Saccharomyces cerevisiae S288C: one gene and its partners. The gene in region 1 interacts genetically with each later gene. Each region holds a gene or a part of one and is shown on either strand. Other genes may lie near its edges. The genes, in order: DEG1, ELP6, VPS71 and URM1.

What was found.
Region 2: mutations in DEG1 (region 1) and ELP6 together harm fitness more than expected from each alone (negative genetic interaction), as found in Saccharomyces cerevisiae (4 studies listed by BioGRID).
Region 3: mutations in DEG1 (region 1) and VPS71 together harm fitness more than expected from each alone (negative genetic interaction), as found in Saccharomyces cerevisiae (5 studies listed by BioGRID).
Region 4: mutations in DEG1 (region 1) and URM1 together harm fitness more than expected from each alone (negative genetic interaction), as found in Saccharomyces cerevisiae (5 studies listed by BioGRID, with this or other methods).

Annotation. Positions count from the first base shown.
Region 1 is NC_001138.5:145,519-148,959, reverse strand, and holds DEG1 (pseudouridine synthase DEG1), read right to left. Parts: upstream 1,830-3,441; coding exon 501-1,829; downstream 1-500. Other genes in the region: ATP-dependent RNA helicase SPB4, read left to right, coding at 2,026-3,441. UniProt on the Saccharomyces cerevisiae protein: Formation of pseudouridines at positions 38 and 39 in the anticodon stem and loop of transfer RNAs.
Region 2 is NC_001145.3:896,413-899,726, reverse strand, and holds ELP6 (Elongator subunit ELP6), read right to left. Parts: upstream 1,323-3,314; coding exon 501-1,322; downstream 1-500. Other genes in the region: TGL3 (bifunctional triglyceride lipase/lysophosphatidylethanolamine acyltransferase), read left to right, coding at 1-348; PP1-complex regulatory subunit GLC8, read left to right, coding at 2,124-2,813; UPA2 (putative methyltransferase), read left to right, coding at 3,058-3,314. UniProt on the Saccharomyces cerevisiae protein: Component of the elongator complex which is required for multiple tRNA modifications, including mcm5U (5-methoxycarbonylmethyl uridine), mcm5s2U (5-methoxycarbonylmethyl-2-thiouridine), and ncm5U (5-carbamoylmethyl uridine).
Region 3 is NC_001145.3:194,413-197,447, forward strand, and holds VPS71 (Vps71p), read right to left. Parts: upstream 1,344-3,035; coding exon 501-1,343; downstream 1-500. Other genes in the region: carnitine O-acetyltransferase CAT2, read left to right, coding at 1-388; YML040W (gag protein), read left to right, coding at 2,216-3,035. UniProt on the Saccharomyces cerevisiae protein: Participates in the catalytic exchange of histone H2A for the H2A variant HZT1, an euchromatin-specific factor, leading to chromatin remodeling and changes in transcription of targeted genes. Indirectly involved in vacuolar protein sorting.
Region 4 is NC_001141.2:340,903-343,335, reverse strand, and holds URM1 (ubiquitin-related modifier URM1), read right to left. Parts: upstream 801-2,433; coding exon 501-800; downstream 1-500. Other genes in the region: NAS2 (Nas2p), read left to right, coding at 1-342; long-chain fatty acid-CoA ligase FAA3, read right to left, coding at 1,908-2,433.

The DNA of each region.
Region 1 (3,441 bases):
AAAAACTAAAAAAAAAAAGTGGAGTACAAAAATAAGGTCAAAATACATAGTTAAAATTTTGCTTCTTGATAATGAGATGAGGTAATTACAAGAGTTCTGCTTTCCTTCCCAAACAGTTTATTTTATAGTTGGTCTCTATATCAAGTGTTGAGTAAGTAATCGAATGGAAATTACGTACTTTCAACGCAAGAGCAAGACAAAAGAAAGCCTAAAACTGTCTTTTCGTGTCGGTCGTCCAATATCATCGTAAACGTGTGTAGAGCCTTAAATTCTAATTTCTAACTTTAAATTTTTTTTGCTATTATAATACTAATTTCTAACTTTCAACCTATTTTACATCTTCGGAAAACAAAAACTATTTTTTCTTTAATTTCTTTTTTTACTTTCTATTTTTAATTTATATATTTATATTAAAAAATTTAAATTATAATTATTTTTATAGCACGTGATGAAAAGAAATATAGTCTTCAAGGTTATATTATACAGGTTTATATATTATTTTACTTATTTTTGTTGTTCTTTTTCTTGGAGTATTTAGCATTAACAACTTCGACAGGTTCCATAACGCTTCTATCCTCTAGTTTCACATAGGTACCGACTACTTTACCTCTTCCATCGCCCAAATTAATAATTGTCTTTGAGAAGTTGTTTGTATTTGCTGTGGGCAAAACATCTTTAAAAATATTGCATACTGCGGCCTTAAGTTCGTAGTGTAACGTCAATGCTTCAGTAGCTGTCGTGAATTTTATTGCCTTATAGTCATCTACAGTAGGTTCTTGCCAATCCATTTCAGGAAATTTACAATCATATAACAATAATGGTATATCATTTGCCATTTCGTAAACAGGCCTTTGAGGGGTTTTCTCAATATCAGTCAGACGCAAGACAATTTCCGGCACTTCAAGTGATTGACCAACTAAGAAAAGAATGGCCATCATGCAACGAACTTGGTGCCATAGGAATGCTGAACCAACGAGATCAAAACAATAGAAAGTTTCAGAAAGGGGAAGAATTTTTGAGCTTATTATTGTTCGTTTAAAATTGGTAATTTGTTTTGAGCCATCAAGCTTACAAAAATTCCTGAAGTCTCTCTCTCCAACAAAATATGATGCGGCTTTAGACATTTTTTCAATATTAAGGTTTTTTCCATTAAAGATGTACTTATAGTGCCGGTGAACACAGCTGAATCTTGCGTCAAAGTTAGGTGGCGGTCTGAGGCAGACAGCTGATATACGAATATCGTCGGGTAGTAATTGATTTAAAACGTGAACATAGGGTATTTCCCTGCTGTCGTTGGTCGGATCCCGCTGTTCCTCATCTGTTAAATTGGAACGGACTTCTAACGATATAACTTGGTTCATGGCGCTAACTCCCTTGTCTGTTCTGCCACATCTGCTAAATTTATAGTCTTGTAAAACCATCGAGGGAACAAGTTTACACTTATTCATGGCCTCCAAAATGGTACCCTCTACTGTAGGCAACGGTGTGTATTCCTTCTGAACAGCTAAGCCATTGTAATTCCATCCCAAATAGGCAAATCTCAAGGCGATGAACCTGGTATTATGTTTAGAAAAGTCAAACTTCTTCGGAGCCTTTTTCGCCTTGCTTCTCGTAACCTCTTCTTGCGAAATTTTGCGCTTTTTGTTATCCTCGATGTGCTGGAATTTTTCAGAATGTGGCTTATTTGCGTTTTCTAGTTCAGTGATCCTTCGTATTAGCTGCTCTTTGGACCAGTTTGCGTAAATGGAGTCCTTCTTACTAACAATAGCATTGGTACCTGTTGAAATCGCTTTCATTTTCCCAACTAGCCTTCTAATGAAATTACTCATTCAAGGGAGGTTATAGTAGGGCAGTAAAGATTGCATGTGGGCACCTCGAGAATACTATATTATTCTTTATTTTGAGCCGGCTTTTCGCTTTCAAAAATTTTTCACTGAAAAACAAAGTGAGCTTTTCAAGATGAGCTGAGCCCATTGATTTGAGGTGTAGTAAGATAATATTAAAAGCTCAGCAGCAATAAAAACAATGTCAAAGTCATTGGAATGGGATAATCTCGGGTTTTCTTTACTTCCCTGGATAAGGACAGGACTCGATGTTATGGGTTTTGAGACCATGACTCCAGTCCAAGCATCGACAATTCCCATGCTTGCTGGCAACAAGGATGTAGTAGTTGATTCTGTAACAGGCTCAGGTAAGACCGCTGCGTTTGTTATACCTGTACTAGAAAAAGTTGTAAAGGAAGAAGCGAATACATCAAAATTCAAGAAAGCACACTTCCACTCGTTAATTATTGCTCCAACAAGAGAATTGTCACGCCAAATTGAGTCTGTCGTTCTATCATTTCTGGAACATTATCCTTCCGACTTGTTCCCTATTAAATGTCAGCTCCTGGTTGGTACTAATGAAGCCACAGTTAGAGATGATGTAAGTAATTTTCTGCGGAATAGACCGCAGATTCTGATTGGAACACCTGGTAGAGTTTTGGACTTTTTACAAATGCCAGCAGTAAAGACGTCAGCATGCAGTATGGTAGTTATGGATGAAGCAGACAGATTGTTGGATATGAGTTTTATTAAGGATACCGAAAAAATTCTGAGGCTATTGCCTAAACAAAGAAGGACGGGTCTATTTTCTGCAACTATGCGTAGCGCCGGATCAGATATCTTTAAGACAGGGCTTAGAAATCCTGTCAGGATTACCGTTAACTCTAAGAACCAGGCGCCCTCCTCTTTGAAATTAAATTACTGTGTCGTAAATCCTGCCGAAAAACTACAACTTTTGGTTAGCATTTTGAATAACTACAAATTCAAGAAATGTATTGTATATTTTCCAACATGTGTGTCAGTCTCCTACTTCTACTCATTTATCCAGTATTTGGGAAAGAGGAATATTCTCGTGAATGAAGTAGAAATATTTTCCTTGCATGGAAAACTTCAAACATCGGCAAGGACAAAAACTCTAACAGCTTTTACTGATTCGCTAAGTAATTCTGTTTTATTCACAACAGATGTGGCTGCTAGAGGTATTGACATACCCGACGTTGATCTCGTCATCCAGCTTGATCCCCCTACCAATACTGATATGTTCATGCATAGATGTGGTAGAACTGGTAGAGCAAATAGAGTGGGTAAAGCAATTACGTTTCTTAATGAAGGCAGAGAAGAGGATTTTATTCCTTTCATGCAAGTTAAAAATGTGGAACTTGAAGAACTTGATTTGGAAGTAAAGGGCATAACAACAAACTTTTACGAGGACTTTAGAAATTGGATACTAGAAGATAGGGATAGATTTGATAAAGGTGTTAAAGCATATGTTGCCTTTATTAAATACTACTCAAATCATTCCGCAACTTCAATTTTTAGGCTTCAATCTTTAGATTATGTTGGTATTGCGAAATTGTATGGTCTTTTCCGCCTGCCTAGAATGCCTGAGATAACAAAG
Region 2 (3,314 bases), on another chromosome or scaffold:
CCGCTGGCGTTTAAATTTAAGTATCATCTGGAAAGAAAATTAAAAAATATTGCCACTATGGAATTTCGACATAGGATGGAGGTATTGGATAATTTAGGCCTGTTGTGCTCATTAATAAAAAGACTAATAATTGATGAAAAGACTCCCAGATCAGCTACGGAGATTGCTGTGGTACCAAGGATGAAAAGTCTATCATTAACAAGGATTATTGAAGGTCAACTAAACAACATTCCATACTGGATAAAATCTGGTGAACGAAGTACATGGCCCGCACTAGCTTTAATTAAGACAAGATGTGCAGTCGAATTTAAATTAGACGACATAATAAGAGCAAGACGGAGTAGGTAGTATCGTTTCCACTTTTTTCTGTCTTATTTTTTTTATTGATAGAGCTCGATTGCATATATTTTTCATTGATATTGTACTTAAAAATATATTCAGTTCATAGAAAAAACAATAATACGAGAATCAATGTGCCTCGTATATAATCTTATCATTATTTAGCGATAAAATAGTTTTGTTGACTCCTTCTCATTCAGATATAGGTATTCATTTTCAACGACGTGTAGGCTTGTGTTTGAAGTTGCAATGGGTGCGCCGCCCCTGCAAACGTGCAATGAGCCGGTTACGTCCTTTGCAAAACCGGTCTTCAGAGGATTCAAGTTCAAATTAATCATTGATTTGATAAAGGAAGATTTGTAGAAATTTTGCAGATTCGAGGAATGAACAGAAGCATCGTATTCATCTATATTAAATATGTCCGAATTGGAAACAATGATTAGCACTTTGCATTGCCTCAAAAGAGGTGTGATGAACTTATTGTTTAATTCTGAACAAGTTAGGCCGCTTACTAGCGACAACAGTAATTCTGGTTGTTCGATGATAACAATGGTGTCAGTTGGGTTATTTTGTATAGCAGCGGAGAACTTTGCGAGTACGTCACTTAGTATTTTGTCTCTTGGCTTATTATGGATATTATTAACGATGAAGTCGGACAGGAAGTCTAAAACATTGTAGTTATTAGATGGGATCTTTAGCTTGTTTAATGAATTTGTAAAATAGTTCTGTTCGTGGATAAACGACGCAAGGACTGCATGGGAGCGAGTTGACGAAGGTAGCATCGATGAAGAAGATTCATTAAGGGAACTTGGGGAACCTAACACGTGCGTTTCTACTAGTGCGTTTATCATCCATAGTGGTTGAGTACAGGATTGATGGGTGATGAAGAATAAGTTATGAGAGTTGCTGTCTTGGAAAAAGTGGGCAGGAAGCACTGATTGGTCGCTGAATAGGACCAAATCTTGTCGTTGAACACTACCCATAAATGTGTATTTAGTTATTTTTGTGGAGGTTCTGGACGGTTTTTGCCTAACTTCTACTAGCCTCAATTTAGTACTTTTATTTTTTTTTCATTTTTCATTCTGCTCATCGCCTATCAATTCATGCCTAAGAGATGCAAAGATAGCGTACTATAGATGTGAAAAGTTGGATAAACAAAGCCCATGATATAAGCCACGGCTTCAGCCTTAAAATTGGGGTTAAAGGCTAAGAACGAATTGCAAATTCTTTTGCTTCAGCAGGAATTTTCCAACAGCAAAGTATAAAAAATCTATCTAAGCCGCTTTTAAATTAAGGAGCGTATATAAAATTATATAATCACACTCGAAGGACCAATCTGTGCTCTACATACCTTACGCGCTCTAATAATATGATCTATGCTTCATCAGTCTTGTTTATTCTTAAAGTATTTTTTTTTATGTTTGGTTCTTGTTATTGAACAAAAAAATGAATTAACCCGAACACTACCAAATCAATAGCAGAAGAAAAGAAGAAAATGATAAAATAAAGGTGAGAACCATTTTAAAGCATTATTCATTATGAAATCCTCCTATCTAGTATAACTTGATTCGACACCTTGCTAATATTTCTCTGAAGCACTGTCTTTAGAGGCAAAACGGTACTATCGCATATTCTTACCCGGTTTCAAGTTTTGCCCTCACGCTTTTTTAGGGAGAAATGACTTCCACCGAAAGGATAATTTGAGAACACCACTACAACTTAAAGTCCAAGAGCTTCATCAGTACAACGAGTTCGTATCATCAAGAACGCACATCAGCAGAATAATGGGAGGTATACTTAAAAACCCGCTAGCCTTATCGCCGGAGCAGCTGGCGCAACAGGATCCAGAAACGCTTGAAGAGTTTAGAAGACAAGTTTACGAAAATACGCAGAAAAATGCCAAATTGACATCACATAAAAGGAATATACCGGGACTAGATAATACAAAAGAGGAGGGGGAGATAATTGGAACATCGAGTACCTTCCTTCCAAAGGACACACTGTCACTGAAACATGAGCAAGACATGTTGGCCAAGATGACACCAGAAGAGCGAGTTCAATGGAACCAAAGAAATTTAGCAGAAAATGAAATAACAAAAAAGCAGTTCCAAGATATTCACATAGACGAGCCCAAGACCCCCTACCAAGGTGCTGTGGACCCTCACGGGGAATACTACAGAGTAGATGATGATGAAGATGAGGATAATAGTGATAAAAAACCATGCCAGGTGGCAAACGATGACATCGACGATTTGTCCCTGGGCGAACCGGAATTTGAAATCAAAGAGAACAAACAACCGGATTTTGAGACCAACGACGAGAATGATGAAGACTCACCGGAGGCTAGACATAAGAAATTTGAAGAAATGAGAAAGAAGCATTACGACGTAAGGGCAATTTTCAACAAAAAGTCCCGTGAAGCGCTAAAGGACGAAGACGAAGACGAAGATGATAGTACGACAAAAGAACCATGAAACATGACACCTCCATAACGTTTACCTATACTAAATATATCTTATTTTTTGGATTCTTGGTACATAAATATGCACTGTTTGTTATCACGCGAAACGAACTGATTTTTTAACAAGCTTTATTTTATACATGAAAAATTTCCCATCGATGAGCTGTGATCGGCAAGTGAGAGTACTCTGTTTCACAACTACTACCGGTCCCAGGAATATATACTACTGACCACAAAGCTGTGTATCACTTAGTTTGATGAGCAGCACGAGGAAGTTCAAAAAGGTTGAGAAACCTCTATCACAAACCAGACATTATTCACTCTGTATCCCCACGACATTGGTATCGGACTGTCGCAACCTCTCTCAAATCACGCATAAGGTGTACCAAGTGGCCAAGTTTGCATCGCTGTTTAATGTTTCTGAGGTTGTCATTCTTGAGGACAATTCCCAGGTCGATGCCACCAAAAAAAAAATCTCCACTGCTAAATTAATACTGGCACTTTTACAATACTT
Region 3 (3,035 bases), on another chromosome or scaffold:
AAAAGAGCATTCTACGTACCTGAAAAATGCTGCAAATGGTAATGGTGTCGATCGTCATTTCTTCGGTCTAAAGAATATGCTAAAATCTAATGATGACCAAATTCCGCCCCTTTTCAAAGATCCCTTATTTAATTATTCTTCAACTTGGTTGATCTCCACATCTCAACTATCTTCGGAATATTTTGACGGTTATGGTTGGTCTCAAGTAAATGACAACGGGTTTGGACTGGCATACATGTTGAATAACGAGTGGCTGCATATCAATATTGTCAACAAACCAGCCAAGAGTGGAGCCAGTGTTAACAGATTACACTATTATTTATCTCAAGCTGCTGATGAAATTTTTGACGCCTTGGAAAATGAGAATAAACGAAAAGCAAAGTTATGAATTTTTCACCTTTCCTCTTCAATTAATTTGTGAATATTTTTGTTAAGTATCTACACTTACATACGTATAAATAGGGGAGAAAAAAGGGCTTACGAATACATACTGATCATTACTATCTATTTCTGCACCTAGTTTCATTATGCAATTTAAAACAACTTACAGAACAAATCTTATTTCCACAATTAACGCAACTTGAAATACTATCGTAGCCACCGCAAATAGAGCATGTCGTAATTAGGGGTAACACTTTGAAGTATCGTTTATTGTAAACATTGTGGTAAATGACATTCTTATCCATCAAGTTTAGCAGCGCAGAATCTAAAAACGAATGTAAATTTCTTTTTGAACTTAAAACCTTCTTTAACGCCACAATACGATTGGTATTCTTCCTCTTTGGTTTAGGTAGTTTTGTAGATTTATACGATAATTGTATTTCCCGTAAGGTTTCTGGTTTAAGCACCCAACCATGACCATACTTGGAATGCTCTTTTACAAAAGAAGAACCACCCATTAATGCAGAGAGACCATCCGAGGTCTGTGAGATCGGTTTGGTTGTTGATTCAATTCTATCTCGTGGTACGCCTGTGAGATCACTTAATAAAGTCGGTACATTTGGTAAATCCGAGAAATTTTCTGTGTTAAGTTCCATAAACCTCCTGTCCGACTGGAGAATCTCTTGTTGTGTGTACCTTTCTTCAAATGAATGGGAATTCTTACTATTTCGGTCATCCTGTCTGCTTATACTATTGCCATCTCCCTCAGATCTCGAAGTATATAACCTGGCCTCTAAATCTGCCAGTGAGTAGTTTATGCGCTTTACGGGCCTAGAGGTGGATATTGTGCCTTGCTTATTAATCTTCTTTGAAGTATATCGACGTGCTTGAGGATCCAATGACGTGAAATATATGTCAGGATTGTAAGTTTTCTTATCAATCTCTTCAACTAGCGCCTTCATTTCGCTGTTATGAGTAAGCGATCCGTTCTTTTTCTTCGATCTATCAATGATATCGACGTTACTATAGATTGAAAGGGCCGCTTCGACTTTTGTTAATACTCACAAAGATCATCATGTTCATTATAAAAAAAGTAGTTATTAATTATCTATTACCCGGATCAAAGTTATTTCTACAGAACACAAATATTTTATTGATTGCTTCGTTACATAAAGCAACGACTAAATAAATATAAGCTCTCTAGCTATTCCACCGACTTCACTTCCTTAATGAATGGTCGTTTTTGTAATACTCCAAAAAAAATATCAAAAAAAGGGGCGAGCTGGGAATTGAACCCAGGGCCTCTCGCATGCTTTGTCTTCCTGTTTAATCAGGAAGTCGCCCAAAGCGAGAATCATACCACTAGACCACACGCCCTTGTGAACTTGTGAATCTTAGCCACTAAGGAATCACCGAATAGTAAAAGTTTTCTGACAACTACAATATTAAGCCCTTAACAACAATAATGAATATTGAGTGCATAATGTTGAAATGGAACTCTAAAATATCATTTGTTTAGTAGTATTCGTGTTACTAGTTGTTGGAATAGAAATCAACTATCATCTACTAACTAGTATTTACATTACTAGTATATTATCATATACGGTGTTAGAAGATGACGCAAATGATGAGAAATAGTCATCTAAATTAGTGGAAGCTGAAACGCAAGGATTGATAATGTAATAGGATCAATGAATATAAACATATAAAACGGAATGAGGAATAATCGTAATATTAGTATGTAGAAATATAGATTCCATTTTGAGGATTCCTATATCCTCGAGGAGAACTTCTAGTATATTCTGTATACCTAATATTATAGCCTTTATCAACAATGGAATCCCAACAATTATCTCAACATTCACATATTTCTCATGGTAGCGCCTGTGCTTCGGTTACTTCTAAGGAAGTCCACACAAATCAAGATCCGTTAGACGTTTCAGCTTCCAAAACAGAAGAATGTGAGAAGGCTTCCACTAAGGCTAACTCTCAACAGACAACAACACCTGCTTCATCAGCTGTTCCAGAGAACCCCCATCATGCCTCTCCTCAACCTGCTTCAGTACCACCTCCACAGAATGGGCCGTACCCACAGCAGTGCATGATGACCCAAAACCAAGCCAATCCATCTGGTTGGTCATTTTACGGACACCCATCTATGATTCCGTATACACCTTATCAAATGTCGCCTATGTACTTTCCACCTGGGCCACAATCACAGTTTCCGCAGTATCCATCATCAGTTGGAACGCCTCTGAGCACTCCATCACCTGAGTCAGGTAATACATTTACTGATTCATCCTCAGCGGACTCTGATATGACATCCACTAAAAAATATGTCAGACCACCACCAATGTTAACCTCACCTAATGACTTTCCAAATTGGGTTAAAACATACATCAAATTTTTACAAAACTCGAATCTCGGTGGTATTATTCCGACAGTAAACGGAAAACCCGTACGTCAGATCACTGATGATGAACTCACCTTCTTGTATAACACTTTTCAAATATTTGCTCCCTCTCAATTCCTACCTACCTGGGTCAAAGACATCCTATCCGTTGATTATACGGATATCATGAAAATTCTTTCCAAAAGTATTGAAAAAATGCAATCTGATACCCAAGAGGCAAACGACATTGTGACCCTGGCAA
Region 4 (2,433 bases), on another chromosome or scaffold:
TTTGATAATATGAACGTTAAGTCAAACCAAGATGCAAGAAGGAATAACGACGATCAAGCTATTCAGTATACCATCCCTTTTGCATTTATCAGTGAGGTAGTACCCGGTAGCCCTTCAGATAAAGCAGACATAAAGGTTGATGATAAGCTGATTTCTATTGGTAATGTGCATGCGGCAAACCACTCTAAACTTCAAAACATTCAGATGGTTGTAATGAAAAATGAAGACAGGCCACTTCCCGTCCTTCTCTTGAGAGAAGGGCAAATCCTAAAGACATCGCTAACACCTTCGAGAAACTGGAATGGTAGAGGTCTTTTGGGTTGTAGGATACAAGAGCTATAATCTTCGTCATGTACTAAAAAAAACCAATCCAGTTATTACTATTACTTTTTATACTATCTGCATATTACCTACGTTATCTAACTTGTGATTCATTCAAGCTGTACAGCACTTTATATATATATATGTAGCTGCTTCTTAAAAATTATTTGCTGCTATTTTTAACCACCATGTAATGTTGAAGTAAAAGAGATGATGTCACCGTCTTCCAATATGTAGTCTTTTTCGCCTTCGAGCTCCCAATCGGTGTCGTTGATTAATGTGATGATACCGGGTCTTATAGAATCATCTTCGATGAAGATACTAACGTCATTAGGGTTATTGATCATAGTAGATACAATGTGGTCAATCAAATCGCCCACTGTGACAGGATCTTCTTTGTCCATCTTAATTTTATGTACTCTTTGTTTTCCAAAAATAGCATCAAGTCCACCTAGAAACTCCACTTTCACGTTTACCATCCCGATTTTGCTATTAACCTATCTCGTTTTAGTATCAGAAATCAGTATTGTTTTCTGCTTTGGGAATTTTTGAGCTCTCCATACCGTCTGCCAGTAGTATTTCATTAGGTCGATGCGATGCCATTACTTTGTCGTTATATTTTTTCTGCCGAAGTGGGCGACAATGTAATTAAAAAAAAAAGTCTAAATAAGATTGAGAACTTGGGAAGGAACATAATCCGGTATGTGAAATCAATTGAATCTATCCTCTGTCTCGGTATAATATTATACAAGTTAGGAGAATAGTTATATATAAATATATGTGAACTTGTAGAACTGATGGCATTTGATGGCCGTCACATGGTACGCCACTAAAACCTTGATTAAGTAGATTAGATTAGACTAGCAAGTGTTGGTAACGTTTTGTAGGAAAGAGTCTCAAAGTACCCAGCGCCAACTTTTGCTAAAGTCAATCATAAAATATATGTTTTTAAAATATGTAGGTATGCCGTGCATTTTTATTCTTTTTTAATGTTTAGCTTTCAAAAAAGCTAAAATAAACCATAAGCGTTATTCTTATTATATTGATAGTAGAAGAGGAAGAGTGGTTATCTTTACTCAAATTAACGATTGCTTTTATTTCTTACATTAAGGTCGAAACTATTTGCTACTATGAAAGCCAAGCAGAAACAAACAAGACCTTATTAAGATTGATGTTTCAAGCTATGCATTCCCAATTCAGAAGAACAAGGGAAGAGCATAAGACGGCTATCTGCATTTAACAGTAGTGGTCACTCCTACAGTAGTCATACTTCTCAAGCCTACTTTCGGTATGGCTTTTAAAGTCATAAAATAACGAATAGTTCGTATACCGCTCATGTGGCAAACTCAATAGCAAAATGTGATTTCATATCACGAAGTTTTTTATATTTTTTAATTATACAATTGTAATTTGTATTACGGAAATGAAACATGTTTGTATGTTATGTAGTATATCAATAATTGATTTACCGCATCTGTAAAAGAGAACCATTTATCACGCACATAGTTTTAGTATTCACTAATCGGTGCTCTATGGAAGTACGAGACACCGTGCATAGATGGAAGGGGAAGGTAATAAGCTTCTCTCTAAGAATTTTCTTTGTAAACCCTTTCGACTTCTGATTTAACAGCGGCTAAGATTTCTCTTCTCTTTAATTTTTGAGCAGATGTGACAAAGCCATTTTCAGGTGTCCATTCTTCATCAAAGAAAACAATACCACATAATAGTTCAATACCAACCAAACCTTGAGATTTGGCTGTTGCGATCATCTCTTTGAAAACAGCATTTCGTAATGCTTTGTCATGGATATAGTTTTCGATGTCTTCACCCTTTTTCATAATACGCAATTTGACAGCAAATTTAGATAGGGGTCCTGGGTTGGGTACCACAATACCCACCGGTTTAACCCTACTTTCATCGGCATAAACACAGATATTTTTCACATAGGAGTTTGACCTGTAAACAGATTCTAACTTTTCTAATGCAATATATTCACCATTTAGGGTTTTAACCAAATTCTTTCTTCTATCAATAATTTTAAGTTGTCCCTTGGGAGTCCATTCAACAATATCACCAGTACGAAACCATCCATCGTAAGTGAAAGAGACCGCC